Linked DNA regions of Xenopus tropicalis. The protein of the gene in region 6 purifies or fractionates together with the protein of the main gene of each other region. This does not show direct contact. Links are inferred from orthologs where the notes say so. Each region holds a gene or a part of one and is shown on either strand. Other genes may lie near its edges.

Region 1 (4,105 bases), on a different chromosome or scaffold from region 6:
TCTTCAAAATACTTTCAGCCTGTTTTTGGGAAACTTTTTTTTTTTTTTTTTTACTATAACTGTACACAGACATGGCATATCTGTCTTTCATATGCAAGAGTGTCATTAGTCATACAATTTTATTATATTTTCAATATGCTGCGACAGAGGAGAGTAGTTACTAGATTTGTTCAGAATTTATTACATTTCGAAGACCCTATTGGGGTAAATGAAAACTTGTTGGCAGCTCTGATATGCCTCCTCTTGCATTGCTTTGTTGGTGCCCAAAGATTTTTGCAAATTTTGTCTTCTTTACAAAAGCAAGTCTAATTGTTTTTTCTTTTCTGCCTTTATAGCTTCTGTTTCAAGCCCTATAGTTGCTGGGGGGCTTAGGAATCTACATGAAAATAAAGTTTCTGGGCAGCTGTCAGGCAGCTCTGCAAACCATCATGCAGATAATTCCAGGCATGGCGCTACTGAGGACTATCTCCAGATGGTGCACAGGCTGGGTGGTGAGGTATGTTTGTATGTGTATACTAATGGTGTATACCTGGCATTTGACTTCGTTCGGCTACGTATATGTCAAAAACCCTGTCATGAATGTTTTCAAGGATGTTTTGTTTCTTGGAATTAAGATGTTCCCAAGTTGTGGAGTTCTGCTTCATAATGTTTAGAATTTAAACATTAAATGGATACATATTTCTAGCACTTAACTTTTTTTGTCCTCTCTCCTGTGGTAGCACTTAATGTAAGAGAATTATAATGATATATGCCACCTATTTAAGATAATCCTGAAGGAAAGTAAAAATTGCCAAGAAAAGTGCTTAGAAAAATACTCTAAGCCATACCCCACTTTTAAAAATAGGGAATATATTCACACTGTTAAAACTGTTAATCTTTACACTATTTCACACACAAACCCAATTCAGTCACAAACACTTTGTTCGTTTTTTCTTGTTCCGCTCAGGAAGTTTTAAAAATTCTTGAACACAAGCAACAAAATCACTTACTCCTCCATTACTTATGAACCGAATAGCTATTTTGCAATGAACAGTTATTTTACAGTGTGTTTCTTTTTAAATTTTTTAGGACAGTGATTCTTCAATAAGAAATGCTGCTTCCTTTTCTCTCCGCTCTCCGCAGTCTGTGTGCTCTCCTGCTGGAAGTGAAGGGACGCCAAAAGGTAAAGTTGAGATTTGTCTTAGCTGTCAATAAAAGGCACCTATCACTACAGCGCTAGGCTACCCACACCCAGAGTGAGCTCCTGGGACAGGAAGCCATGCTGTGGCACAGATGTGCATAACTCGCTTGTTATGCACGTTTGTTTGAAGGTATAAATCCAATAAATAATTTCAATCTAATATTTGGACATTTTAAAGGGGTTGCTTACCTTCCAAACACACTTTCACCAGAAATAATGTTTTTTTTTTTGCAACTAATTTTAGTTAAGCAGTAGAAAACAAAGTTAAAACTTGTTTCTCCCTCTTGTGTCCGTTGCATAATCCGGGTGCAGACTGAACTGTCACACTCTATTAGATCAGTTGATACATTTCTCAGCAGCAGCTGCAGAGCATTAGCAACTGTTGTATCTTTTATAACAACTTAAATTTATGAAACTTTAGTATTCTTTTCAGCTGGGCCACAGATGATAAATGTATCAATTAATGTGTCGGATTAGAACAGTTTACAGAGGGGGGGCTAAAGTATTGTTTGTTTTTTATTTTGTTATTTTTAATTAAAAATGGAAAGCAACTGAAGAAAAGTGTGTGTTTGATGTACTATCTGAAAACAACTGAACAGCAGCAGCATCTGTATTTATGGGAATCAAGTAGTCATAGTTTCTGAAACATTAAAAAGCTCATATCTCATTTGCATTAAAACAATGTTATTCTCAGTTTTGCTGCTGTTCAAATGATTTTTACTTTTTAGATGATTTTGCTTGCAAGCTTCTTTACACTCAGTTAATGGAGAAACTCTGTTAAATTACTCCAAACGGTGACATTCAAAATATTCAAAAGTCACCAAGGCTGCCCAGGTAGTTCTCTAGTAAATCCGTGGCATCCATGCTGTTGATCCACTCATCAGAATCATTGACTTAACTGCAGAGAATGAACAGATATTGAGCACTCTGCAGTATTAGAGAATAATGGCTGAAACCACAGTATAACATATAAAAAGATAGCATTTTAGAGAAGCCTTTATGTGAAGGGTATGATGCTGGTTAGGTCCATTGACAGGTAGGTTAGGTTTGTTATGACTGATACACATCTAGAGCTATACACATTAACCTTGAAAAACATTCTTAATTTTATTCCTCTTTTTTTTCATGCAGGATCAAGGCCATTAATACTACAGACACAGCCTCCTCCATATTCCTCTCCCAGGGATGCTCCTCCTGACATTCTCTTGGACTCCCCAGATCGAAAGCAGAGGCGACCAAAAAAGTTAAAGATAAGCAAAGATGAGAAGGAACAGACTGAGAAGTCTGCAATGTATGATATTATTAGTTCTCCTTCTAAAGACTCTACCAAGCTCACTTTAAGACTAACACGTGTGAGATCTTCTGAAATGGACCAGCAAGGAGATATGCTCTCCACTATGGAAAACAGTAACATGTCAGAGGGAGATAGCACTTTTAATGTGCAGTTCCCAGGGAATGCTTCAAAAACACCGGTCACTCCACAGGACTTAAGTCGCCCTTTGAATGCTGCTGCTTGTTTTCAGGAGCAAACTGAATTCTTACAGGTGCAGCAAGTGCCTGTTTTACAACCCAACATGTCAGCAGCTGCAAAACCGCCTCAACCTCTTGTGGCTCAATCACAGCCCCAACAAACAGGAAGCATAACGCCATATGACGAAGTGGAACTGGACGCTCTTGCTGAAATTGAGAGAATAGAGCGGGAATCTGCTATTGAGAGGGAACGCTTTTCTAAAGAAGTTCAGGACAAAGGTAATATTCCACCTGTTAAGTACAGTCAAAGCCAACTAATACTTCTGGTAGAGGTTGTTTTCAAGCCAAAAACATTCATTGTACAAATTCTGTGAGCCAAAAACCACTTGCATCTGCAGTGACAGGTGGTTTTAATTTGCTCAATGGGGATAGTGCTTGGGTATTCAACTAGGGCTAATATTCATAAGCATTTTTCGTGGATGGTATTGGATTGACAAAGAATTTGCGACAAATTGCATATAGCCACCTTCTTCAAATATAATGAGATTGATAAAATTGGATGCATAAACTACATGTTTATTTTTTCCATCCAACTCAACTGTCCGATGCGAATGCGGCATGCTGTGTCTGCATCCGCGGCAATCGCTATATTGTTGCATCTAGTCTGAGCGGCTTTTTTTGGAGCGCTTTTGGAGTTTAGCCCTTAGCTTTAGGTTTCCTGCAGATAAGAGCTTTGTCTTTTAAATAGTTGTTGTTTCCCTTGTCTCAAATTTTGTGGGCTAAACTGCCATGTAGCTTGGTTTGTCCAAATTTGCCAGCTGAGATTTTGTTATGGTTCATAACAATTTACTGTTTTTGTTGGGGGGGTGGGGTTCTGTATATGCAGTTCAGTTTTTAAGGGTTAAGGGCTCTGGTACACGGGGAGATTAGTCGCCCGCGGCAAAACTCCCTGCTCGCGGGCGACTAATCTCCCCGAGTTGCCTTCCCCCTGCCATCCCACCGGCGAACATGTAAGTCGCCGGCGGGATGGCAGACGCGGCGGGGCGATTTCGGGAAATCGCCGAAAAAGCCTCGCAAGTCTTTTTCGGCGATTTGCGCGAAATCGCGCCGCCGCGTCTGCCATCCCGCCGGCGACTTACATGTTCGCCGGTGGGATGGCAGGGGGAAGGCAACTCGGGGAGATTAGTCGCCCGCGAGCAGGGAGTTTTGCCGCGGGCGACTAATCTCCCCGTGTACCAGAGCCCTTAGAGACGCAGAGCTACTAGTAGCAGCTACTTGTCGTGGCTACTAAAATTGACAATGCTGATCGTTTACTGATAATTGCCTCTGGGTGTTTTAGCAGAGGCAATTCTCAGTGTTGTCTATGGCAGGGGATTTTCTGGAACTTTGTATCCGTGAAAAAAGTAGCCACTACTACCTAGCTCCGTGTGTCTTCACCCTTATAGTTGTCACTGA
Region 2 (4,105 bases), on a different chromosome or scaffold from region 6:
TACTAACAAGTCTTGTGTGAAGCTCAACCCCCATTTTTGTTCTTAGCTCTACTTTTTTTGACTGTGAGTTGCCTACTGTGCATATTTGCTTCCTCTGCGCCAGTGAAATTAATCAGAACAGAAAAGGGGGTGAGACTTCACACTAGACTAGAAAGTAGCTGAAATAAGACTGAATGCAGAAAGAAAGGGGTATTGTTATTCTGGGTACTATTGAGTAACTTTAGAGAGAGAAAAAGTTTTTTACTTATTATTAGATATTGTGATTTAGGCAGGCAAGACATCCTTTTCCCCTAAAAAGTATAGATAGGAGCTGTTCTGCAATTTGTCTTACTAAAGTTGTCTCCATCTTTATGTCCTTCAGGAGAATAACATTATATTTCCTACCTGCAAGTGCTGTTCTGTATAATGCTTATGCACAGCACAACTTGCGCTATTCTAACAGATAAACGTCATGAGGTTTATGAATTAAATGGTACAGATGTCAAAAAGGCATTTGTATGTTCCATTACAGATCATTGACTCAGTAAAACTGTTGCTTTTTAATAAGGATAAGGGAGACTGCATAGACATTTTTAATTGAAAAAGTAACTTTGCCAATTTCCTTGATTTTTAGTAATGGACACAATCAGAAAGTTCATATGCATATGGTGGATTTAATGAGCTCTATAGTTTGTGAAGGCGATACCGTTTCTCAGGAGCTGCTCGATAGTGTCCTTGTCAACTTGGTTCCTGCACACAAGGTATATATTTCTCAATATTATGGGTGTATTGCTAATAATAAAACTGGTATATAGATTATATATATTCTACTGTTCTTTGAACTGTTTTTGCACCCTCAGAAAAACTCATGCGTTGAGTTGTAAAACTTAAACTAAGGATTCTAAAGGCAAAATATTTTAATTGATATTTGTGTTCTGTCTGGAATAGGCAACTGTTTTCGAAAATACATCTACTAAATATTTTTTACTGTTTTTTTTAGTATGAAACAAACGTTGTTTGCATTTTAAACAACTAATGTTATTACCGTTTCACATTTTATGACCATCCCCTGGCTTCCGCTTTACATGTATCCCCAGTAGAGTTATACTGCTTTCGCCAGTGCCTTTCTTCTGCTTGTCCCAGCTGCACCTTTCTCCTGTATATTGCAAAATAGTTGCTTTGTGCTACACAGAAGGCAAATATCAATTAATATGTTGTGGTTTTTATGTTTTCGTAAGCAGATTTAAAAGAATTTGAAAACTTGTATTGTTCCTCATTGGTTACAAAAAAGGCATCCGAAATTAAGTGAAACATTTTCCCACAAGATGATAAATTGTTAATTGTATTATTTTTTAACACTCGGATGTCTTATTTACTGCCTGTTGGTTCTTTCTCTTGTGATGTACCACAGGGCTACCTAACTCATCCATATTCCCTCATTCACAGTTATACATACTGATGCTGAAAATGATGCGCATTGTCTTTTACAGTAGCCATGACAAGTAGCTGCTTCTAGCAACTCTATGTCTTTACACCCTTAAATGGACAGTATACTCCGGTTTTCAACATGAGCTTGATAAATGGGGCATGTACATAACATGCTTTTTGGCTATTGTGTTAGTAAGAAAATATCTATTGTTTCTGGCACTAAACAAGAAAATAAAAAGCACTTCTGGTAACTTCCTGGCCGAACGGTTGGATGAAAAGCTAATACAACAAATCACCTTTTATGTCCCTCACCCCTCCAACTGAATGTACAGTTCTCTATTGTAAATGTGTGTTTATGTATTTAAATGCATGTGTGCGTGTATGTATATAGTGTATGATATACAGTAATAATAAGGACATTTTCCACTTTTTACATTATCTGTGGTAAATTGTTTGGGTTTCAGGTATTGGCCTGTGGTTCTAGAATGATACCAACCAAATAATGTGTGTTTTTGGTTTCAGAATTTAAACAAACAAGCTTATGACCTGGCAAAAGCTCTGCTTAAGAGAACCGCTCAAGCTATTGAACCATATATTACAAATGTAAGTTTCAACTTAAAAAGTAATTATTTTTAATACTGTTATTTTTCTTAAAGGGAAAACCAATGAAATGAATTGATGCAAATATACTAATGGTGCTTTTCTGTACCCTTGTACTCTTTACCTTCATTTTCTGAGATATTTTTATGTTTAGACTTCTGATAACAGGTTTTGGCTCAACTGGGAGTCAGCAACTAATCTCCCCAATATGACATCCCACTGGATTGAATGTAAATCGCCGGTGGGATGGCATATGCAGCGACGCGATTTTGGGAAATCACAGTGCTGCATATGCCATCCCACCCACGATCTACATTCAAGCCGGTGGAATGGCATATCGGGGAGATTAGTCGCCCGAAACAAGGGCGATTTGACGTGGGCAACTAATCTCTCTGTCTACCACTGCCCTAAAATGGATCCAGAATATGCATAAACAATTAGCGCCATGGCAGAGGGGGAAATCTTTGCTACTGTGGGTGAAAAATCTTAAGCATACCTCTTTGCTAACATTCTGATTGCCATGTTAAAACACCTGATTCACCTTTATGTTAACTTTTAGTAAGTTATAGAATGTTCTATTCCTAGCAACTTTTTAATTGGTCTTTCTTATTTATTTTGTATAATTTTTGTATTAGTTCTGTCTTCTACATCTTTCCAGCTTTCAAATGGGGGTCACTGACCCCGGCAGCCAAAAAAAACTATTACTCTGTGAGCTTATAATTTTATTATTATTGTTACTTTTTATTGCTTTTATTTTTATAAGTCCCTCTCCTAGTCATATGCCAGTCTCTCATTTAAACCACTGCCTGGTTGCTAAGGTAAACAACATACTAACAACCGTATAGCTGCTGAAATGGAAACCAATTGCAAGTTGTTGTTGTTGTTGTCAAAATATCATTGTACATGTCATACTAAAATCTGAAGGTGAACAACCCCTTTTAGCCAGATCGCCACATGAAAAGCATTTTACATGCAATGATCAGAATGTTAGTGAAGAGAGGTATTTTCAGGTTTGTTGAGATTTGTAGCGATTTGACATCCGCAGGTATTGCAGATTATCAGCTGGCCACAAATCTTGTTAGCCACTGCCTTTAGGGTTGCTGACACTGTCCTTTAAAAAGCTGTTGAGCTGAAAGCCTGTTGTTAAATTTGTTTGGACTGAAAGCCCAGTGAAGATAAGCTTTGGTTTGTCATCTTCCAGTTCCCAATGGCCTGGTTCATGGTGCATTGACATATGAAATTCATGCCCAATTAACCAATGACTGACCGTCACAGTACATGGATAGTGCTCGTTCCATCATATATTTTAACAGCAGAATTTGCACTCTGAGACATCTTTATTACCTGGTTGGATATACCTGTATTTCATAGTGAATGAATACACAAATTAAAAGTTTAGCAATAAATCAGATTATATAAAAATTGGCATAGAAATGGGTACAGGTAGAAAACTAACATTTACAACCTTTGTCTTTTGTAATTGTTCCCATTGATTTAAATAAAAATTGGAACCGTAACACCAAAATATGAAAGTGTTTTAAAGTAATTAAAATATAATGTAATGTTGCCCTGCACTTGTAAAAACAGGTGTGTTTGCTACAGAAACCCTACTATAGTTTATATAAATAGGCTGCTGTGTAGCCATGGGGACCGCCATTCAAAGGGGTGAAGTAAATCGGTCCATTTTATACTAATTTTACACTTTTTTTGCATTTGCAGTTTTTTAACCAAGTTTTGATGCTTGGTAAAACCTCCATCAGTGATTTGTCAGAGCACGTCTTTGATCTGATACTGGAGCTCTACAACATTGATAGTCATTTGCTTCTTTCCGTTTTACCTCAGTTGGAGTTCAAGCTCAAGGTAAGTAAGATGCTTTAATATTAAAGAAACCCTACCATTAAAGTAACCTTTCTGTGTCATTGAAAAATGTGAATTTGTTAGCCCAGATATTACTGATAAGCATAATTGTCTAGCCCCTGCGCCAGTGTTAAACGTGGTGTTTTTGGCCCACCTAGAAGAAATCAGGAGAGTCTAGCCTATGAATATTCCCTTTTGTAGCTAATATGTAGGAGCATTAATATATAGTGGTCTGGTGGTA
Region 3 (4,854 bases), on a different chromosome or scaffold from region 6:
ATCATTTGTAATAAGGAACCAGTGAATACAGGACATCTTAACTCCTTGTCCCCTAAGTGTTCCCGCCTGCATACAGAGTGAAGCAAAATGCTTTGCATTCTGTTTTAGGAGCACCACAATAGGCTTTGCTTTATGGTGCAAGAGGTGAGGTATCACGCAAAGTTTAAACATAACAGGGAGTTTGGCACCCATGTTTTATTTTATTTTTCATAAATGAGTCCAAATGAATGCAACAGAGAGGCAGTAAACCAAAACATGTTGGGGCAGGGAATTACTGAGAGAAATTAGGAATAAAAACACTTTAAACAGGTAGAAATGTGTGTGCATTTACATACCACGTGTTGATGACATTCACTTTTAAGTATTCTCGTTTCAAAATTTTAGTGCCTTTGGTAGCAGCCAACCTGTGAAATACACATAACCTTCAAAATTATTAGAAAAGCCTTTGCCTGATACATACAAGTTATGCCCAGGTCAGCATTATATGTTGTCAAGATGCTGCCAATTTGGCATGGGCAGTACTAATATCAACACACAACAATAATTTCACATATTTCTGATGCTTCTAAACAGATAAGATCCTAAAATACTCTCTTACCTCAACTGTTTAAATGTGGACTTTTACATTAAAAGCTTTATTACATTAAAAGCAGTCACAATTTTTCAAGTTATGCTAAGAAATCCACTGGTTTTCCACACAATACATTGTTATTAGGTGGCTTTGTGTGTTTAGCAAAATGAACTTTGAGATAATGTGATGCTACAATAAATTATTCCCTGAATTACAGCAATTGCTGGCTATTAATTATATGTTAAACTACAAATAACCCTTGTTGCTTGTCTTGTCACTGAGCTATGTATTATCTTTTTATTTTAACCAAAAAGAGATGAACCCAAGTGCTTTCCATGAAGATATTTACAACCACCAGAAGTTGTTTGCAATGTACCATTTCAATATACCCCTTCTAGTTTAAGGAAACATTATGAAGTGCTATTCAAGTGTTACTGAAAGATACTTGGTTTTAGATGTAGACACCAACAAATAATTCAGTGTTTTACCTAAAAAATTGATCTTTAAGTGTCTGTATAAAAACAACCAGTAAGGTAACTTCAAAACCCTTTATCTATAATACATATTTATGTCTAAACACCTTGTCAATAACAAAGAAAAAACACAGTGGCTACCAAACAGCCAATCACAGTCCTTATTTGTCCCCCAAACGAACTTTATTCATGCTTGTGTGGCTCACTAACACTTTTAACAACTGAGTGTGGCTCACTGGTAAAATGGTTTGGGATCCCTGACGTACGTCTAACCCAGCAGTACCCAGAATGTACATAAAAGGAGAGATCTTAGCATGTTTACTGCTGTTGAATCTGCTGTTGAATTATGTAGTGCTATATATTTACATTAATAAGTATTAATTTGGCTGTGTTATGCTTTCTGTCCTCAGTGCATAGACTTTGACTCTTTCATTTGCAAATGTACTTACCATATAGTGGCAAAGCATCCTGTGTGGCGCTGCAACACGTTTGGATAATAAAACATGTCAACAAAATGCTGCTGCTATTTTTGCACCCTTCTTAATTTTTCTTCTACTCGTTTTCTCCACCAACTCTTCAGATGTTTGTGTCCCCTGGAAAGTTGTCACTTTTTCCTTTTTTCATGCCAGTTATCCACTGATATCCTTTCTCGCTCAATTGCCTAATCTCTACACAATTAATACAAAATGTAAAATATTTGCTGCTCATTAGAACCCAACAGTTACCTGTTACATACATGACTACTACATTACCTTCCTTACTACATCCATTTTACGGAGGTTAAAAAAAAGATACATTTTCCTAAAGTCACCAGATAAAATGATACTTAATTCAAAAATGGGTTCCTCTAAAAAGTATCATTTTCTCTGGCAACTTTACTTACACGTTGTAATACTTTTCCAATCAAAAATGTGCTGAAGTTTCTAGTGGAAAAATGCTCACACAAACTTCTGATCGTACCAATTGAAGCCATAGGAGAAATAAACAATGGTAATGAGCTTCTCTGCAAGTGGAGAAAGGCTATGTGCCATTACCCCAGTTTTCTAAGCAGTCTGCTAATTTTTTTCTAATACCAAGTGCATAACCGTATATTTATATGCAATGAATTTTATATCCCACTTAGCCGCCCAGATCACTAGGTTGTCAAGATCCACCATATATAGTTTCATGCATGGTATGTGTTTTTTAAATTGAACTATGTTACTGTGAGTTATGAACATGTGTCAAGCACAAAAAAAAATCCAGCATGTTGCATGTAAAAAAATGCAATTACATTTGCATCTGCCTACATCTCAAATGCAGAAAAGGTCCATTGTGTGGGAACCCTCAGTTCTGTTAAAGGTCAATATACACTGTGTGCCATAGAATAAGACAAGACTATGTATAATAATATAACCCATCATGATATACAGTGGCAAGTTTAGTGGTGTAAGGCCCAATTCTAAATGGCCTAATGCCTGCAGATTTTCTGCTGTTCACAAACTATAACTCCCACATCCTCCAGTATGTAAAGCTAGGCTGGGTGATGTTACTTGCAGCAAATGATATATTGCTAAATTTCCTAAATCTAGAGATTATCTGAACTGTCTCTAAGACCAACAGCTGCATGTTACTGGCATGAGCAGAAGTGCCACCGCATGTACCAGTGAATGGGGCGCAAGTGAGAACATGAATCTATAGTGCATTGTGCATAGCAGGATCACACAAGTGCGATTAAAAAAGGATTTGACTCGATTTGACTATATAGTGATTTCATATGCAGTTTACAATGCCTCATTAGTAAATATGTCTATCGATCTAAATACCTCAGTATTTTTTTAAACTGAGATAATCAAGCAAAAAGTGAAACAAAACATAAAATACAAATTCACCTCAACGGAGGAACCTAAAAAGTTAGGTAAATTAAGGAATAGATATTGTTCACACATTTTGTGGTTAGCTTCTATAATGAAACTAGTCACAAAATGTGTGATTATCTATTTAGCTCCAAGAGCGCACATAACTGCGCCATTTACTTGATAAAATATAGCGGTGTTTTCTCACCTTTATTTTTCCCACAGCGCTGCTCTCGGATCGCGTTCCCATTTATTGAGTACATGCAATTTAGATTTCGCCCCTTCACTTGTCATAACAAGCAGTATTTTCATGGCACCAATGGTACATAAGAACGTCATTAGCGGCGGGGTTTAGCCGGTCACTCACCGCCACTTGCAGCCCAGATCTTCGGACGAATCATCTGTTAATGTACGAGTGACGTGTAGAAGCATTGCCCACTAGTAAAGCAGTTGCCAGGTCCCTAGAGCTGACAGAAGTGCTAAACTTTTCCCGCGCTTTGCTGGCGATGTACAGCATATCACTAGTATGAGCTATCGAAGGCTGCTTGCTTATCAGAATGTCAGTGCTCATTTTTTCAGCATACGTCTTAATAATATCAGTCAACTAGTTGTGAACGTTTTGACTTTGGTCCCTAACTGAACTGGGGCTGCCAGGTAGAATAAAGTTTACAGAGCCTGCCAATTTGCTGTTTAGATACTGCTGAAATCCCTTGGAGATTTAGGGCAACAAATAACCCCCAAATGTTATTGGAACTGCAGCAAATGACTGATACACAAATATTTTTTTCCTATACCTGTAAAGCTGTGTGGTGCTGACCAAAGGGTGGACCTGGAACCTGAACTGAAAAATCCCCACAACCACTGTTTTATGACTTGGGGAGAAGGTCAACCAACTTAAAGAGGGTCTAAACTCGAAAAAATTAACTTGCTGTAAACATACTCTTTACTTAAGCATTTTTGCAATTTATAGTTTTTTTTGGTTTCTGAAATATTAGCACTTCGGTTTTCTGAAGTCGCCCAAAGTTTCCTTGCGAGGCAACTTCGGGCGACCAAAGCTATGCGTATACCATTCTTGCCGGTAGGTTGGCATGTTGGGGAGATTAGTTGCCCGCAATAGTGAAGATTTATCACCTGCGATTAATCTCCCCATGTGCCACTGCCCTAAGAGTAAATACAGGGCTACTAGTAGCACCTACTTGTAACGGCTACTACACTCCCATAAAATACCTTGCCATAGACAATACTAAGAATTTTCTCTGATGAAACTCATGTAGAGACAGTTATCATAAAATGATCAGCATTGTCTATTTTAGTAGCTGTGACAAGTAGCTGCTTCTAGTAGCTCCAAGTGTCTTTACCCTTAGGGCTCATACACACACATGCATTTTGTTCTTTGTTCCTTTGTGTGGCTTCTTTATGTATTCTACCAAAAGTGAACTTGTCAGTAAATGCAGCCCATCATTTTCCTTAGTGTCTATAGAAAACTGCCAAATGCAGCATGCAGTTATTTAATAAGAACAAAAGACATGGTAACAGAAGAATATTGAAATTTACTTCTTTTTAAAATCACATACAGATACATGGTACATATATGAAATATAATTCAATATACTATAAACTAGTTACATTTTTAGAAATAAAGTGTTTGCGCCTTCACAATTTATATTTAATGCTACTGAAAATTGGGGATCCACTAAATTTAATATATTGAGATTTTGCAAAATACTGAATCCTCTACGAAAGAATTGGCCAGATACAATTGAATCTAAACTCTCATTTTGACTAAGCATTTAGCCAAAACGCAAGTATTTAGACAAATCGGGAACCCTGTAAAAAGTGCTAAAATTCAGACTTAATTCTTAATTAAGAGCATCCCTACCGTAACCTACCAAAAACAGCCATCAAAGAAACTGGGGGTACTACTGAAGAAGTTCAGTGACACATATAAGAAAATGCAACATGAAAATAAAGCATT
Region 4 (4,105 bases), about 46 Mb from region 6:
TTTTCACTCTAATGCGCATGCGCCGGTCGTGGGGTCCCGCAAAATGAAGCAGGAAGAGGGAAGTGCTCGCTGCTACCCCGGGCTGGTGCTGTTCTCTCCGTACAGGGGCACCAGCCCGGGGTACAAGGTAAGCGATTAAGTCACTTGGGGGTGCCTAACATTTTGGCACCCCCAAATGACTTAGCCTTTCCTTCTCCTTTAACATAACTGACTCAAAACTGGCACTTTGCTGCATCTTACCTTCTATATGTGCTACAACAGAAGACAAATCATTATACATTATGCATGCCCACAGAAATATTTGATGCTGCATATAATTACCTAAACTATGTGGCTTAAGGAGATTATAAAATACGAATGATGCATTTTAATTTTTTTTTACAAATGTCACTTTGTATGTATAGACAGCCCAAAACCTGTAACATTGTGGGAACCAACAGATATATAATTCTGAAAAATTTTATCCTGAAGATTTAATACTGCATGAAGATAGTGAAAGTTTTAATTTTCCTATATAATGCAAGTAATAATAAAAACATATCTCCAAATTAAAATATTAAGAAAAAAAAAGTATGTTTGGTACAAGCCTGATTTACTGAGCTCATGCTAAAAAGGGTATATACCGCCCCTTTCAGCAATGTTCTAATATACAAGTAAAACATTTTTTTCAGTGATTGTTTATTTATAAATATAAATGCAATGTTAAAGCAATATCTACTGGCCTGTGTATATTCTCAAAACTGCCAGTTCTGACTCATGAAACAATGTAGCAGAAGGCAATGGATTAACTAAATTGGAATTACATCACATTTTTAATTTATGTATAATGAAAAGCTGCTTAGAATTAAATTAAACTCATTTGAGCTAAAAGCTACCAGCTTACAATTAGAGCAATGATAGTGACAAATGGTTTTCTAATGAATGTTTTCTTGCTTAAAGAAAAAAAAAAAGCAGGAAACTTCGGGCGACTTCAGAAAACACATAGGCCTTTCCACTAGCAATTCAGTTTATTGCTGGTGGAAAGGAATATCAGGGAGATTAGTCACAGAAGGAGATTTAACCATGGGCAATTAAACTCTCCTTGTGTCACTGTCACTGCCTTACACTTTAGAGTGTAAAAAGTCATGGCTTTTTTACTATAACATTTTTCTGTACTGTTGGGATTTTGGAGATAATAAAGATACAGTGTACAAAATGTTTTGTAGATACGCTATATCAGTAGTACAATGCCTGTATACAGACTGTGAGAGACTAGCATCAACGTTTTTTTCATATAATAGCATGCCAAGTTTTACATAAAAATCATAAAATCTTCTGTTAATCATTGCAATTGTATAATAGTCCTTATAAATGCTGGTTTATAATTTTCTTTAAAAATAACTCCAATCTTACATTTTTTTGTGTGAAATGCAAATCTGAACTGACCAAAAACTCTATAAATAATCACTCACCAACTAGTCTTTTTATATAGTAATCTAAGTATCCAAACACTTATAACACATATAAATTAACACTTTGACTACTGAAAAGATTCAGAGAGGGAAGTAGAATAAAGAACAAGAAAAAAAAAATGCTAGATTGATGTTGAGACTCCTTAAAGTACATGTAAACCCCCCACACAAAAATGTAGTCAGTATACAGCCTCTTAGAAATCTATAAATACCAGCCACTCCGTTTGCTTGAAGGTCATTAGTAAGGCTACATCATCCCTTTAATCACTTGGGATTCCTTCTCCTCCTGTAACTTACTCGCCCCCTCCTTTAGGAATTGACTTTAGCTCTTGGCTTACTGATCATGCTCAGTTCTTCTCATCTCAGGTTTCCAAACACACCCTCAAGTCTAGCAGCCAATGAAGAGATGGCACTGTGGGTTTACATAGATACTGAGCTGTTCTCACCTAACCTTCTGTCCTTAACAATACAGTGCTCAGTCCAAGCAGGACTTTTTTTTTTTAAATTAAGTTCTGCCTTTGTAATACTGCTTTCTTCATTGCATAAACTTCACTGAACGTCACTGAAGAGCAAATTTGAGGACTTACATACAGATTCATACAAGGCCACACAAAACCACAGGGCCACATGGCGACTATGGCAAGCATACTTGGATGTATGGAAAACAAATTTATCTAATGCTGTTACGAGGGTTGACTCTGCCGGACCGCGTCCGTAAAACAATCCTAAGGGCTAAGGAACTATTTAACGTTGGAACAAATGTTAGATAGGTTTTGAATATAATACAAATTGTGTTTTTTGATGTTTTTCTTTCTCTCTCCTATCAGACAATCTTCCGTCTAGAACCCCCTCTTCCCATCATCCCCCGACATAATTACCCAATCCAACAATTATAAGCAGCCCTGACAACGGACAGCTTTCCTATGTTTTCTCTTTTGTTTTTTCTTTCCTTTCTGCATTTTTATGTAAAAGGCGGTAGGAGCTACAAAAAGCTTCTCAAATCTACCTCACTATGCCTATTACGAATGTTATTTTCTTTGAAAAGTTACTTATTGTCATATTCAGTGCAATGTTGGATTGAATATAAAACCTAATAAAAATTAAAAAAAAAAAAAGTCACTGAAGAAAATGGCTGCTGAGTGAAACCTGTAATTTGTTGTAGTAAAATGCGATGGTGCTGGCAAATGGAGGGGATATATGCAGTATAAATGATGTCATTTGGGTGGGGTACATGTGCCCAACTTATATACAATGTAGGAAAATGTAGCCTTTAAATATTTTTACTAAGGTTGAATGCTTCTTACGACACATTGGCAAAATGATTTTCCTATGCAATGATGCATTCTTCTCATACATAATTAAAAAACCACAGAAAAAGACTAATTGCAAATTGTCACTGAAAATAATTTTCTACATTTTACTACCATTTAAGTGGTATACCTATATAGATAAACTGAACCAAAATGACTAGCAGAAATTTCCATGTACAATTTTTCTTTGATTTAGTTTTCTTTCATATTTACATAGTTAAGTTGGGTTAAAGTAAAAAAAAAAAGCCAAAAGTCCATCAAGTTCAACCCTTTCAAGCAAACCCTAGCACACGAACACACATAGACCCAATACTGACCTATCTATACACTCACATACATAAACTATATATACCAACATCATTGTAGAATTTTAGTATCGCAATAGCCTTGGATATTATGCTTGTTCAAGAAATCATCCAAATCACTTAAACTTAATTTTATTTACTAACTATGAAAATTCAAACTGATAAACACAAAACACATTTTGTGTTCGCAGGGAGACTGCTTATAGCCCTTTTGTTACTTTCCCAAGAAAATCTTTATGCTAAAACTAAGGCACAGTTCTTACTTAACATATAAAATCTTAAATACAAGCTATATATTATCAGTGTGAATTGCAGGCTGAAATGGATTTCTTACATTTGTGTTTACTTTAAAATTTGCACTTCTAATAAACCAATACCATTACACTTGAAAGATTAAGGTCATCCCAGCAAAATCCTTAGAATTACCTGTAATGTTTTTTTTCTTAGGAGAACTGTGTTTTCTCTTCCCATCCTCTATTTTATTTGTATTCTTTTCTCTGAGTCCATGCAATGCACTATCAAAAGAAATGAATTTGCATGACACTGTGGTTTCTGCAGTGATTGGCTGATTAGCTTTATTATTTTCTTCTATTATGGATGTAAAGTTGTCTGAACTTGCAAGATGCTCCAAAGGCTGTTGAATGCTGTTCTTGGGCTGTGGGACATTTTTTGATGATACTGGGATTGAATCCTCATCACTATCAAATCCAAATGGATCTTCTGTGAGATCATCATCAACTTTGGGTTTCTTAGGAGTATCTTTAACATCCTGCTTATGGTTTGGTCTCTTCTGCCCAAGCTTTGCCATAAAGGTGGTCTCTCCCCATTTTGTACTAAGAGTGGTTCGTTTATTAGAAAATACTTCATCAAACTTGGAGTTGCTATTTCCAGCTTTGCGGCTATATGTTTTCCCAAATCTTGATGTCATTTTGAAGCCTGTTTCATATTCTCTGCAAAAGAGAAAGTTAATTTTTATTAAACAGAAAAAAAACAAAATGCAAAATAAAGTTAGAGACCTGTAATTCGGAATATTCTAGAC
Region 5 (4,564 bases), on a different chromosome or scaffold from region 6:
GAAGACAGGCTTTCCGTAATTTGGAGCTTTCTGGATAATGGGTTTCTGGATAACGAATTCCATACATGTACTATTCCTCATAAGTGTAACTAGCTAAACAACATACATATACTCCAGTGAAAAAAAAATCCAATTCCAAATTACCATATAAGTTGGTGGAAAAGAGTGTTATCACGCAGCACTCCGGCTTGGGGATATTCTTGTTTAATGTGCTCACAACTATTTGATCTTCATAATGCCCCATTAAATTAAATGGAACATAAGCACTATTACATCCAAAAGCTATACATCTGCCCTTCAGCAGAAAATCAGATTTAAAAGAAAAGAGGAGATAAAGAATGGCTGCAGGTTATCTATCAGTGTTTCCTGTAGCAAAATAGGTATATCAAACATTGTCACATGCTAGAGGAAAGAAATTGAATAATTACTCTAGCCAATGGTATTTTGCAATTTACAAATTCTTTAATAATGTACTGGAATGTTTAGAGAACCCCCGATATTTACCAGTATTATGGCTCAAAGGTTGTACAGACCGAGCTGTTTTACTGGGAGGATGAACTGCTGCCCGACACTTGAGACTTTAAGTGTGGGGATAAAAATAACTGTTCCAGCATATGTGATAAACGCCAGACAGCTGAGTCATTTTACATGAAGATTAAAGATTTTTAGATGGCAAAAAATGAAAAAGAAAAGCAAAATAACATGTGTGACCAAAACAAGCTTTATAACAAGTCTGTGAAATGTTGTGTGTGCTTTCTAAATAATCTCAACAGCCTACAAACATTTTGATCTACAAATTCCAGTAACAGACCACTATCCTGCTTGTTGTGAAAACTAGAACTTCAGTGCCTAACTAATGCATACTTTCTGGTTTTCATGCTTTGGAGAATAACCCCCATATGCAGGGGATGAGGCAGTAGTGCAGTGCACAATCCTGGGCGTGCATAAGTGCTGCTCCATGTAATGTAAGGTTACCAGATCAAATTAAAAGTCAGGAATACTGCAGATTTCATCCAAATAGTGTTTTCCTTCTATCTGAATAATTTGGTAACATTACTGTGAGAGGGAAAACAAATGCCCTGTAATACAAGCAGCATAAAACTGAACTGTTTGGGGTATATTGGCCATTTAAAGGTTTTGGTGCTTCTTAGGCAATTTCTGCCAGTCAGTTCTATGCCTGCTTTAGGGCAATAGCATATCTGTGTGATGACTATTATACTCTTGTAAAGTAGTTTAGCTAATTTAACACACATTTAATTGTATTAAGAGCGCGGACAAGGATAATACTTATTTACTTCTTGTAAAGTTGTTTAACAGTGACTTGTCACCCACACATAAGCACTAAAACGTGTCCCATTAAGTATAGACTGCATATTTTTACATAGGTCACTAAAGAAAGCAGTGACAGGAAAAACATCCCATGTGCCATTGGCGTAAGCCTGCTACTTTGGTTTGGTAGCATTTATTAACAGGCTATGTTGTGTTGTTACAATGATTCAAATGTGAAATGATTGAAAGCCAAGCTTTAATAAGTCCACAAATAAAATGCATTGTTAATTTTAATGGCACTTTGTAGGGGATACACATTGCAAGAAACAAAAACAAATATGTAACAAATAAGACCCTCCAAACAAGCAGGGCTAGGAAATAACTAATTCATTGATGTTCAGCCTTGAATCCTCTAGCTGCAAGGCCCAGAACCCCGAACAGCCTTTGGAATGTGGTGTAACCTAGGTTTTGTACTAGGATTAGCCAATTCCTGGACCGGTTCAAGATTCTCCCCAGTTCTAGCACTTTTTACAGGATTTGGATTCAGCCAAACTGAATATGAACCCCTAAAGTCATGTGACTTTGGACAATTAAAGGCAACAATGATATTTGTAATTGTTGCAAAACACAACATCATGGATGAAAAACACAAGCAACCCCTAAAATGTAAAGCAATGTCAAAGCTAACAATATACAATTATCCCAAAGCACAACAATTATGGATAACCAAATAACAACTCTTCCAAACTATAACTACCAAAGCTGCTGGCACTTCCAGTACAACATACTCTGGATCCCCACAAGCCATGGATGGTATGAACAGAAAAGCAGGAACTACAGAAGAACTACACTACCCAGTGGGCTGGCTCCCTTCCCCTAACTAGCCACATTATTAGCCAATGTAGTAGCTTTGGGTCCAGCTCTTCCTACACCACAGAGGCTGACAGAGGGCTAGAATCAGATGCAGTGTCACTGTGGGAAGGAAGAGCAGGTACCACACGGCCATGTATCGTACTGCAATTGTATCAGAACACGGGAAAGGAGCGAATAACCCGGCTGGATTTGTTGCAGGGAGGGGGAAGCCAATCGCAGCGGCTGCGCATCTCCCTTCACGTGTTGTTGATCTCAGCTAAAGCCAAACAAGATGCATGCTGTGGGGAGGGGGAAAGACAAACGAGCTTCACTCACAGGGGAGTCATAAGAGAAGGCGCACTCCGTCTTGTAGACCCTGTCCCCTGACTTGGGTACCCTGATGGTGGGCATGTAAGGGACCAGCAGCTCTCCCAGGTCTTCAGCCATCTTCCCATTCCTGCTGCTCCCTAACAGTGCTGGGACTGTGCGCCCGGCTGCGGCCCAGGCATGGGAGGGCAGGACAGATGATGCTATTTTAATCCAATAGCAAGTCAGCCCAGCGCTGGGTCCTGCCGCTGCTCGGAGGGGAGGGGAGGTAGTTCGCTATTTATAGCAGACCAACTTTTATTTCTTTCTGCTGCTGGGCTACTGTGCCTCACAGCCTGTCCGACATTACCCCGGCACAGCAAGAGATCCCCCGCGTCATATTTCCTATTATATAGCGCTCAACTCAGCAACGGTAAAGGACCTAGCGCAGTAATAGTCATCCATGAGGGAGAAAAGTTGAATATCAGCGATCTAGGCTTTCTATACTGCCAGTACTACCCTCATACACTGCCCATGTGATTTCCAATCTGCGCATTTGGCCTCCCGAGAATTGCGCCGCTAGGGGGCAGCCTGACACGCCCACCTCCTGTGTTAAGTGACAAGGCGCACCTTATGTTGCTTAAAGCGTTGGGTTCACATGGTTGTTTGGCCAGTTTCTTGGAACTTTGCAGTTGATTTTCTTAATAGTACTTGAGTCTAGTTATAAAACTTTAACCCGTCCCATTTCTTCCTAATATTAAACAGTTTCTGCATTCTGTCACAGGGTAGGGCGTGCAGCGGAACAAACGCTGCAGAAGTCATTGGCAAATGCGTCAAAGGCTCCAAACATCGTTGAACAGAACTTTGCTGTTGCTCCTCTGCATAAAAATACAACTACAGTACTTTGAAGAAAGTGCAAATGATGCAGAAAAATGAAACTGCCCTTAAAGGAGTTTATGATTTGTTTTTTTAATGTTTTTCCTGCAAATCTCAGATTGTGCTGGAAGTAGCATTTCAAGAGCCTTGAAGGGCCATAACATGGACAGCCCTAATTTATAATTAAATGTCTGAAATATTGTCTTCTGCTGCTGCCTGTGTCGCCACTAAATATAAAGGAAAGAATTAGCAACGGAAAGTCCATATGTTCTGGAAGATTACCCCAATATTGTTCCACTTGACAAACCATAAATTTTGGTTTAGCCATTTTTAACCATGATTTGTGGTTTAGCACAATGGATGGGATAATCACCCTTGAGAATCTGCAAGTGCTGTACAGTCAATTTTTTTCTTTATTTATGTGAACGGGATGTTGCCATACACCCAGAGGCCACTAACAATTTCTTTAAGGTGATACTGGCAGGAAAAAAATACTTTTTAAAATATTAAAAGGGGTCTTCATCTTTAAGTTAACTTTCAGTATGATGGAGAGAAATATTTGGAGACAGGAGGTCTTTTTTAATTAATCATAGATTTTTAGTTATTTAAATATTTCTTTAGCAGCTCTCCAGTTTGGAGTTTCAGCAGCTATCTGGTTGTTAGGGTCCAAATTAGCTTAGCAACCAGGGAGTGGTTTGAATGAGTGACTGCTATATGACCTAAATCAAAAATCAATTTATGAAAATTAACAATAACGATGAAACTGTAGCCTCACAGAACAATAGGTTTTTGGCTGATGGGGTCAGTGACCCCCATTTTGAAAGCTGCAATGAGATAGAAGACAACAGCAAATAATTCAAAAACTATAATAAATAAATAAAAATCAATTGAAAATTTGCTTAGAATTGGCTATTCTAGCACAACCCTCACGCCCTTACACTCCTAGAGTGTGCTGGTATGATAGCTACACCTGCACCAATCTAAAGCCTCATTCATGGGGGCCCTGTTCCCTGATTTAACCAAGGGCCTGTCACCTTTACCCAGTCAACCCCATTCCATAGGTAGAAGCCAAAGAGGAAGTGTCACTCTTTTCCCAGCACTAAATCAAAGTGAAGCAAGAAGTGATCATCCTACCTGCTAGCCTATAGCATACCTATGTACACTGGTCAAAAAAATAAAGGGAACACAAAAATAACATCCTAAATCTGAATGAAATATTCTTATTAAATACTTCGTTCTTTACATAGTTGAATGTGCTGAC
Region 6 (4,105 bases):
TGGTATGAATACTGCGATGTTTGGGACTGTGTTTTCTTCCCAGCTAAGTATGCGTGCCACCTCTCGCATGGCCAACTTGCTGTGTGTGCCTCCCTGTTTGTTGACATATGCTACGGCCGTTGCGTTGTCGGATTGTACCCGAACCGCTCGGTTGTGGAGTATCGTTGACCAGCGTTCTAGTGCTAATGCGATCGCTCGTAGCTCCAGTACATTGATGGGTAGGAGACTCTTCTCTCTGGACCAGGTCCCCTGAAGAGTGAGGTTCTGGTAGACTGCCCCCCAACCTCTGAGGCTGGCATCTGTTGTCACTACCTCCCAGGTAGTGGTTGCCCAACTTTTCCCTTGACGGAGGTTGTCCTCTGTTCTCCACCAGAGGAGGCTGTCTCTGGTCGCCTGTGAAATGGGGATTATTTGTCGCAAGTCTTGGTGGTTTCTGTTCCAATATTGCAGAAAGTTGTGTTGCAGGTGCCTGAGGTGGAATCTGGCAAAGGGGACGGCTTCCAGGGTTGATATCATGAGGCCCAGGAGGCGCAAGCAGTCCTCTGCAGAGATTCTCTGCTTGGTATAGAATGACTGGGTTGTAAATATCAACGTGTTGATCTTGTCTTGGGGTAGGTACACCCTCTGCATCTTGGAGTTGAACCGAAGGCCCAGGAATGTGATTGTCTGGCTCGGTGAGAGTGAACTTTTGCGGTAGTTGATTAAACAGCTGTGTTGTGTCAGTACGCGGAGACACAAGTTTGTGTCCATAGTTGCTTGTGCTGCTGTGGGGGCCTTGATCAGTAGGTCGTCCAAGTACGGTATGACGTGTACTCCCAATGATCTTAGGTAAGCCACGATAGGGGTAAGGACTTTGGACTATGTACTGCGCCACGCGTTTTCACCAAAGGGTAATGCTGTAAATTGATAATGAGAATTCTTGACTGCAAATCTGAGGAATATTCTGGATTGTGGGGAACTAGGTATGTGCAGATAACCGTCTTGCAGGTCTATGGGAGGTCATGAGAATTCCTGGTTCCATGGCCGCAGTCACTGATCTGACGGACTCCATCCTGAACCTTTGATTTGAAACCATTGGATTTAGGGGCTTTAGGTTGAGGACCGGTCTGAAGGTGCCCTCTTTTTTCCGTACTAGGAATAGGTTGGAGTAAAAGCCTTTGAATTTGTGAGGTTCTGGAACCTCCTCCACTACCCCTGTTAGTAGCAGTGTGGATACTGCCTCTTGTAGGAGTTGTTCTCTTTGAGGTGTTGTGGAGGATGGAAGGAACCTTCCCACCGGAAGATGTGGGGAGAAGGGTATTCTGTACCCTTGCCGAATGATGGATAGTACCCAAGTGTCTGTTACATGTGTCTCCCATGTCCCAATAAATTGTTGAAGTCTGCCCCCCATGTTTTGTGCCCTTGTTTGCAGGGCCGAGTCAGGGTGAGGCGGGCTTGCTGCCGCTAGGCTTCTTGGTGCCATGTGCTTGTTGTTGCCATTGGGGTCTACCTTGTCTGGCAGTCTGGTCAGTCGGGGAGTTTCTGAAATTTTGACAAAAGGAACGAAAGGGTCTACTTTGTGTCTTCCAAGAACAGATTCCATTTGGCGGTCTAGTGGGTCCTTAAATGCAGCCTCTTCCGCTGGTAAGGCTGTTTGTCTGGATAGGCGGGCAACCGCTGAATCCACCTTTGGGGTCTTGTCCCATTTCTTTTGGTATTTCTCGGGTACAGGATAAGTTTTAAAGAATCTTTGTGTGAGAGCGATACGCCGCTCTGGTTGATTCCACTCTGCCTCAATGGCTTGAGTGAGGGAGTTGAATACTGGGAATGCGAATTTAGATCTCTTTTGTACACCCAATAATTTGTCTGCCTTGGAGCGGGTCACTGTCTCATCTTTAATCTCTAATGTCTGCATCATTTCTCGCAGTAATCTCTGATATTTCTGGTGTAGCGGAAGCTGATCCCTCTTCCTCAGAGTCTGACTCAGGTTGTGGATGAGAGGGAATAGACAAGTCTGAACTGTGACTAGAGGTCTCCTCTGCCTCAGTATCTGAGGCTAAGCCCTCTTCTGATTCTGATGATAGTGTAACAGTCGCCTTGCGCTTTTTATTAATCCAGGGTTTGCTGCGCCCCCCTTGGTTAGGTGTGGGTTGAACAGTGTTCATTATCCACTGTAAAAACTCTCCAAACTGAGCTGGCACCTGGTTGGATGTGTGGGCCTGGGAATTTGTATCCCATGGCATAGGTACGGGGGTATCTGCTGTAGGTGGTTGTATTGGTGGGGGGAGTGCCTGGTGCTGATATTGGCTCTTGTGAAGGCTGAGCCTGTGTTACTTGTGGAGAAAGCATTGGAGGGTCTGGCAAAGTTGTGGGCTCTGAGGCAGGCTTACAGTCAGAGCAATAATTTCTCCCAGTCTTTCTGAGGGAGTGTTTACACACTTTGCACTTGGGTGCCTTATCAGGCTTCTTCTGCTTTTTGGCAGATTGTACCACCTCTCTGAGGTCCTTAAGTGAGTCAGACCTTTCCATTATTGTTATTAATGCAGACCGGAGTGTACTCACAACTAGTAGATTCAGATAATCTATTGCTGTATCGCTGTGTACTGTAGCTGGAGTAGAATGAAACTATACTGAATAGTTGTGCAGATGCACGCCTGTGACGTCAGAGCGCCACTTCCTTTGGCGCGAAACAGAGTAGCCTAGCAACCAGGACGCGCGCGGTTGTGGAAGCGATGCCGCATATACTGGGGGGCCCTTCTTAAGCGTGCCTGCTGCACAAGGTAAAGGTCCTCCTTAGAGATGGGCGCTGTGCGCGCCCCACTGCCGTTGATAAGCCTGCTCCTAGGCACCAAGTATACAGCTCCTTGCTGTATTCCACTCTGCCACGTATGTGTGCTGGTTCAAGGATAGTGCAGCTCTGCGTGCCCTGGGAATAGTATGTGCCAAGCCAACTGTGGGGCAGCTCTGCGTGCCCTGGTTAAGCTGTATATCAAGCCAGTACCGGGCAGCTCTGCGTGCCTTGGTCATGATATGTTCCAATAAACTCTGGGCAGCTCTGCGTGCACTGGTAATGATGTGTGTGTCAGGCCAGTTTTTTGGCAGCTCTGCGTGCCCTGTGCCTGTATAATCCTGGATCCAATAGGACAGCTCTGCGTGTCCTTTGTATTGCCCATGAATGCTTGATGTGAAGAAATAAAATAAAAATAATAGAGAAGAGAAAAAAAAAAAATGGTAATGATAGAATCTGTCCTACACCTCCGAGGCAGGACAAAGAACTAAGGGAAGAAGGTGGAGACGTGCCTTATATACAGTGGGAGGGACCAGGAGCCACTAAGCTTCAATTCTCTGTCCTGCCTCCAGAGGTGATTCAAGACAAAACCCTAACATCTGCACTGACAGGAGGGCCGCTAGAGAAACAGGCTGCTCTCTGCTTTTCTGTACGGCACCACATAGTATTCTTTAGCAAGTATGGCTGCACAGGTGGTTTCCAGATACACGCGAGTTATTACTTACACGTTGTTCACTGTTCCCAGCAAGTTCATCCTGCAAATCCTTAGCTTTAAGTTCTAACTTGGTCCTTTGTTTAATTTGCTCCTGCCTCTCGGAACTGAGCTGTTCTTTCTCCTCTTTCATTGCAGAGATCTTCGATTTAAATTCACGAACTTGCCGTTCTATATCCTATTAATATAAAAGTATATATAAAACCGGCTATGTAATTAAAAAAAACATTATTGAAAGCACACAGCCCACTTACTAAGTGACAGTCTACTCTTGATGACTCAGGATTATATTAAATCAGAATTAAATCACAATACTTTTTCTATTTGTAAATTTTCTATAAAGTAACATTAACTCTTATAAATCTGTACTGAAATGACTGCAGAGATAACTGAACCCCAAGAATAGGCAGGCATTCCTATTCATATGTTGCATAAGCGCCCATAATTCATCCAGCAGTTCAGTTGAAGAGATGCTGGGAGTTCTGGTCTTGGGATACCAGGGCTGCTGATGCAGGCCAATCTCTGCTATATGCTTTAACCATGGTTTCCATTCAGTTTATTTTCTAGGGTCAAAGTCTCATAATAAAACAGTACAACACTATTAGTTTTGCTAAGAATGGCTTCTG
Region 7 (4,826 bases), on a different chromosome or scaffold from region 6:
TTTGGTGTTACTGTTCCTTTAAACACCAACAAGCAGAGCTTGCCAGCTTGTGCATTAAATGTCAGATGTATGAAAACGACAGTTTATATACCTGTAACAGTTTCACCTAGAGAGTCGACATTGATGCCCCAATACTTTGCCATCAAGATAATAAATTTCAACATTTTAGTCACCTTAGCGTGGTTGGCCACCAGGCAGTGTTCACAAACATTTACACGGTGCTCAAAGCAGAATAGATTGGTCACTTTCCTCTTGGGACATTTGCACAGCCCCATGATGACAGGGACACCTGCTGAGGGAAACAGAAATGGTGACAGAAATGCATCAGCCATAGCTCTCTTAAAAACCATCCTTATAGAGTATTCAAATACAAATTAACTTCTGTATGTTTTTCATGGTTCATATTGCATAGAGTACACTGAATAGAAGCAGACACATGTATCCAAATTATTCCCGGTGGCCTTAATATCATAAAAGATAAAACCAAATTTCAGAAGTATTTGTGCCCATACAGGGACAAATTTCCAAGGGGACACTAATTTGTATATAATGCTACCTGTTAATTTTCTATTAACCTCTGAGAGAGCTGTTTTACCCTGGGCAACTTCCTATATGGCCAATGCAATAAAAAAAATCTTTAAAGACATTGGTTGTTGAAGAAGACACTTGTGTGTATTTGCTAAGCCAAGTCCTCCTGACTTTGACACATTAGGCTAGTTTAACTATACTGAAACATATGTTCTATCTTTGTTCCAAGTTGCATGGGCATTTTTAGTAGTTATTTGCAGGAATTGTACTATAATATAAAGATACGGGTAAATGAACAGAATGTTATTTTTCTTTGTAATATGTGGTCACAACCTCACTGCTTCACTGATGAAGAGGAAAGCTTACCTATAAAGGATAAGGACGGGTGGATTTATTGGAGGTGCCAATGTGTTAGATACCTCTCTGATGAATCCAATCAGTAAGTTTTTCCTGGGGGCTGGTGCTTTTTTAAGGAAAATACTGCACCCTCCCAGAGAAATAACCAACAGGCCACAGTGCTGCTATTTTACATGTCTGTCACTAGGTTAACCATCTTTTCTGGAAAAAAATACTGGCTTTTTTATACTTTACATTGGCATCTATCATCAATTGTACTGGTCAGGGCAGTAAAATCCCAGCCCGTATTTTTATTTTTTTCCCTATTAATAAAATTGGCACCAAGCTTCAGTTTTACAGGCCAGATGGCAACACAAACGCTATGTGTCCCTGACACTGACTGACACTCAAGCATGTACAGAAGAATGAATAAGGCAAAATGGTGGAGAAAAACCTTACTAAATCCTTTTTTTTTTTGTTCAGAGCATCATATACTCATCTTCCATTCATATTTTCAAACAACTGTCTGGTTGCTTCAGTAACTAAGCCCTAACAACCACAAAAGTCGAAGCCTGCGAGCTGCAGAACAAAGTACACACACTTGTCTCTGTATATTATACCACTATGTTTCTGTTGAGATTTCAAAGCCTTGAATCCCGTGACAGCCCGACGTGGATGGAAACCTGAAGTGGTAGCGCAGAATCTGTATAGTTATACTATTCGTAGTCTCATCCTACACATAGCAATGCACCTACCTGCCTAGCGCTATATACACACAGCGGCCTCACGCCCCAATGCTCTCCCTCTTGCCAGCACTCTTCATTCACTATTCTCCCCTCCTGTTTCCATCCGGCACAGCTGGTTTACTATCTTTTTCCTTAGACAACCCTTTCCCACTCTTCTCTGCCACGTCTCTTCCGGGTGACAGTGACAGCAGCGTACGCGTCGCCCCGTTGTGACGTCATTTCCTCGACGCGCAGGGTAGTGGTTCTAGCAGCACAAGCGAACGTCACTTCCACTTCCGGCTTACAGAGCGGGCGCGGGATATTTGAAAGGCTCCTATTTAGTGACACTGGCGGAGTTTAAAGTCGGCTTCTGATAGTTTATACAATTCAGGAGTAGTAGGAGGAGGCTACTTATTTGTGCGGGTTACTAAGGCCGCGCAGTTCGTGTATGTAGAATTGTACCTATTACATAAAGGACTATAAGGATCCAAGCGATGTGTATGGCTTATAGGCTAGTGTGTAACCATGCAGCAGCCTCTGGTCGGTGGTAAACCTTAGTGAGCCGCGGCTTTAGATTATGTTAGAAGGTGCTAGCACCACTGGGGACTTTGTCTATAATAACTAAAGGACAGTTTTACAGACGGAAAGGCTATCGACACCAAGCGCCATGTCGGAGCGCAAGAAGAGAAGTAGCGGTGCAGAGTCCCGCAGAGGAGTAGGTGAGACCTGGGGTATGAGGGGCATTTGGCTAACAACGTAGCAAGTTATATTCTTATGCCATATTATTTAGCGCTGACATATTCCTGGGAGCTTTGCAATCTAAGGAGCCTGTAATATTCACACACAGTCAGGCCAGCTTTACCTGAAGCCATATAACCTGCCTGGATGTTCTTGGAGTGTGGAAGGAAACTGAAGACAGCAAAACTTACAGATGTTTTGAAATTGGACGCATTATTGGCTACATCTTATATAAAGGGTCCAGTTTATTAGGGTCACTAATATTCACATTTAGATCTGAACACAGTCTGTGACCAAAACATTGTCTTTCAGGCACTTTTAATCCTTATGACAAAGGTTTGGATCTGATTTAGCTGTCTGCTAAGGGTTCGTCTGGCTCTTGCAAAAAGCTGCTCAGATTCACGAGTCCCAAACGAAATCCTGGATCTGAGGCATCCTTGTTACATGCAATCGAAACCTGCCACCGGTCATCCAAATATGAGAGATCAAATAATAATTTATAAATATTATAGCAGATAATACATTAATTGTACAAAGGGACATGTCATTAAAAGTTTTCAGTTTGCTTATTATTGATATAAAGATAAGTATTAGAGTACATAATATATACACTATCCTATTTTCCAGACATAGGAATATTTTACTTTTATGCAAGAATGTTTATTAAGCTTGCCACACACACCAATATGATCATGTCGCACCAATATATTCATCCAAAACAAAGTTTCATACAATTTTTGGACTGTGTGGCATTCGAATTATCCTCCAGACAATTTTTATACCATGGCAATTAGAAACAGCGCTGCATATTTCTACTGTATTCCAAATAATGTTGAATGTGTTTTTTTTGCATTATTGCAGAATGTTTCACATGATTAAAATATCTGCCTATGTGTTTTTTTTTTTTTTTATAATAATATTCACAAGTGGACTTATTACAATAATTGGTTATGTTCCACTGAATACCCCCTCCCCTTTTGAGTACTGCTTGGCATTTACTTGAATGGGAAAACACTTTTTGTACTAGTAAGCTGATATAGTTTGGGAAAACAGATTTCCCGAGTGATATTGACATTATGGCAAATGTGAATGGGATGCTGATGTTGGCAGTGGTGTTCCTTCCTTTCAGGACCTGTAATGATCAAAACTCTTGTGATTTTTACCCTCATGTTCTCTGCCATAGTATGTCTGGGGATGTTTTGATTTGTTGTATATTATTTTAACACTTGTATCTCATTTTTTGCCACCCTTTTCATTTGCAGGTATCGTCTCTCCACCTAAAAGAAGATCCCAAAGAAAATCTGCTTCAGACAGTCCGGTATGTTCTTTACTTTCCATCCCTCTATTAGCCAGCTCCATTCAACACTCTAGTAAAGGGAAAATCCACCTTGAAGCAATCTTGTCCTGTTCTTTTAAGTTGATCTTCACTTTCCATAGTTGTTATAATTTGCATTCCTCTACCCATTTCCAGCATTTAAAAAGATTCAGAGACCCGGCACCCAAAAGACTATTGATCTCCGAATCTACAATTTTATTGCAACTTGCCCCAGTCCCTTTTACCTTCCAGTCTATTATTTAAACCACTGTCTTGCAGCTGTGGTACATTGGACCCTAGCAATCAGATAACCTAAATTCCAAATCCACAAAAAATGAAGGCCATTTGGAAATCATCTGATAATATACTGTCTACACCATACTGAAAGTAAATTAAAGGTGAATGACCCCTTTTAAGTTATTTTAAATTTTGTATTTTTCAGATCCCAGATCCTATCATGAAACGTTCAATTACGGTCAAGAAAATAATGCCCAGAAAAACACTGGTAAATATACTGTCGTGTTATGAAAAAAGAAAGCTTTACCCTTCTTCTGATATAATAATATTGGGGACTAATGCATATATAAAAGGAAGTAGCTAGTTCCGCTCACATTAGTGCTGAGTGAAGCAGGGGGAATAATATAGCTACTTTGTGACTCACTACAACACCAGGTGGGGAAATATAGGCACCTAGGCTTCATTTAATGGTAATTTTTTCCTGGTGCCAATATAATTATTTCTCTGGGAAGAGCATTACCTTTTTTGTAAATCCTTACATTCCCTGCTGCAATAGTGTCATTCTCCCATTGTTCAGCACTGTAAATCTTTGTTGTCTTCAGTTCATAGTGTAAAAATTCTTTGTATGTTTTTATCAGTAAGATGCTACAATTTTTCCAAATTGTTGTGCATTTTTCTAGAATTATCAGAATTCTTGATTATTAATTATATAGGAACAGAAGTAAGATAAGATTTAACTTGTGCCAATCTATAATATATGATTATGTATTGCATGTTTAGTGTATGATTAGGCAATGCTGATTTACATTGGTGTATTTCCAAATTGCTCACTGATGTATTTTTGTCCTCTGTTTCCAAAACATAGCTACCAGCTCAGATTCCAGCATATGTTTTTTAAAACTTGCTCTCACACTACTTTTATTTAATTTGTACTTACCTGAACTGAA

The links.
Region 1: the proteins of smc3 (region 6) and nipbl purify together in Homo sapiens (affinity purification with western blotting; 4 studies listed by BioGRID, with this or other methods). This does not show direct contact. The link is inferred for Xenopus tropicalis from reciprocal best matches to the Homo sapiens genes SMC3 and NIPBL.
Region 2: the proteins of smc3 (region 6) and pds5b purify together in Homo sapiens (co-immunoprecipitation; 7 studies listed by BioGRID and IntAct, with this or other methods). This does not show direct contact. The link is inferred for Xenopus tropicalis from reciprocal best matches to the Homo sapiens genes SMC3 and PDS5B.
Region 3: the proteins of smc3 (region 6) and rec8 purify together in Homo sapiens (affinity purification with mass spectrometry; 3 studies listed by BioGRID and IntAct, with this or other methods). This does not show direct contact. The link is inferred for Xenopus tropicalis from reciprocal best matches to the Homo sapiens genes SMC3 and REC8.
Region 4: the proteins of smc3 (region 6) and wapl purify together in Homo sapiens (affinity purification with mass spectrometry; 7 studies listed by BioGRID and IntAct, with this or other methods). This does not show direct contact. The link is inferred for Xenopus tropicalis from reciprocal best matches to the Homo sapiens genes SMC3 and WAPL.
Region 5: the proteins of smc3 (region 6) and usp13 purify together in Homo sapiens (affinity purification with mass spectrometry; 4 studies listed by BioGRID and IntAct, with this or other methods). This does not show direct contact. The link is inferred for Xenopus tropicalis from reciprocal best matches to the Homo sapiens genes SMC3 and USP13.
Region 7: the proteins of smc3 (region 6) and cdca5 purify together in Homo sapiens (affinity purification with mass spectrometry; 7 studies listed by BioGRID and IntAct, counting the BioPlex papers as one, with this or other methods). This does not show direct contact. The link is inferred for Xenopus tropicalis from reciprocal best matches to the Homo sapiens genes SMC3 and CDCA5.

What each region holds. Positions count from the first base shown.
Region 1 is NC_030677.2:197,901,536-197,905,640, reverse strand, and holds part of nipbl (nipped-B-like protein), read left to right. Parts: intron 1-335; coding exon 336-496; intron 497-1,068; coding exon 1,069-1,162; intron 1,163-2,311; coding exon 2,312-2,929; intron 2,930-4,105. UniProt on the Homo sapiens protein: Plays an important role in the loading of the cohesin complex on to DNA. Forms a heterodimeric complex (also known as cohesin loading complex) with MAU2/SCC4 which mediates the loading of the cohesin complex onto chromatin.
Region 2 is NC_030678.2:153,096,055-153,100,159, reverse strand, and holds part of pds5b (sister chromatid cohesion protein PDS5 homolog B), read left to right. Parts: intron 1-613; coding exon 614-740; intron 741-1,929; coding exon 1,930-2,010; intron 2,011-3,726; coding exon 3,727-3,867; intron 3,868-4,105. UniProt on the Homo sapiens protein: Regulator of sister chromatid cohesion in mitosis which may stabilize cohesin complex association with chromatin. May couple sister chromatid cohesion during mitosis to DNA replication.
Region 3 is NC_030677.2:139,340,469-139,345,322, forward strand, and holds the start of rec8 (meiotic recombination protein REC8 homolog), read right to left. Parts: upstream 3,160-4,854; 5' UTR 3,088-3,159; intron 1,713-3,087; 5' UTR 1,550-1,712; coding exon 1,494-1,549; intron 405-1,493; coding exon 336-404; intron 1-335. UniProt on the Homo sapiens protein: Required during meiosis for separation of sister chromatids and homologous chromosomes.
Region 4 is NC_030683.2:49,072,949-49,077,053, forward strand, and holds part of wapl (wings apart-like protein homolog), read right to left. Parts: intron 4,017-4,105; 5' UTR 3,995-4,016; coding exon 3,493-3,994; intron 1-3,492. UniProt on the Homo sapiens protein: Regulator of sister chromatid cohesion in mitosis which negatively regulates cohesin association with chromatin. Involved in both sister chromatid cohesion during interphase and sister-chromatid resolution during early stages of mitosis.
Region 5 is NC_030681.2:108,744,934-108,749,497, forward strand, and holds the start of usp13 (ubiquitin carboxyl-terminal hydrolase 13), read right to left. Parts: upstream 2,992-4,564; 5' UTR 2,569-2,991; coding exon 2,458-2,568; intron 1-2,457. UniProt on the Homo sapiens protein: Deubiquitinase that mediates deubiquitination of target proteins such as BECN1, MITF, SKP2 and USP10 and is involved in various processes such as autophagy, endoplasmic reticulum-associated degradation (ERAD), cell cycle progression or DNA damage response.
Region 6 is NC_030683.2:2,842,092-2,846,196, forward strand, and holds part of smc3 (structural maintenance of chromosomes protein 3), read right to left. Parts: intron 3,658-4,105; coding exon 3,493-3,657; intron 1-3,492. UniProt on the Homo sapiens protein: Central component of cohesin, a complex required for chromosome cohesion during the cell cycle. The cohesin complex may form a large proteinaceous ring within which sister chromatids can be trapped.
Region 7 is NC_030680.2:33,589,610-33,594,435, reverse strand, and holds the start of cdca5 (sororin), read left to right. Parts: upstream 1-1,887; 5' UTR 1,888-2,256; coding exon 2,257-2,308; intron 2,309-3,589; coding exon 3,590-3,645; intron 3,646-4,084; coding exon 4,085-4,147; intron 4,148-4,826. Other genes in the region: zfpl1 (zinc finger protein-like 1), read right to left, coding at 174-275. UniProt on the Homo sapiens protein: Regulator of sister chromatid cohesion in mitosis stabilizing cohesin complex association with chromatin. May antagonize the action of WAPL which stimulates cohesin dissociation from chromatin.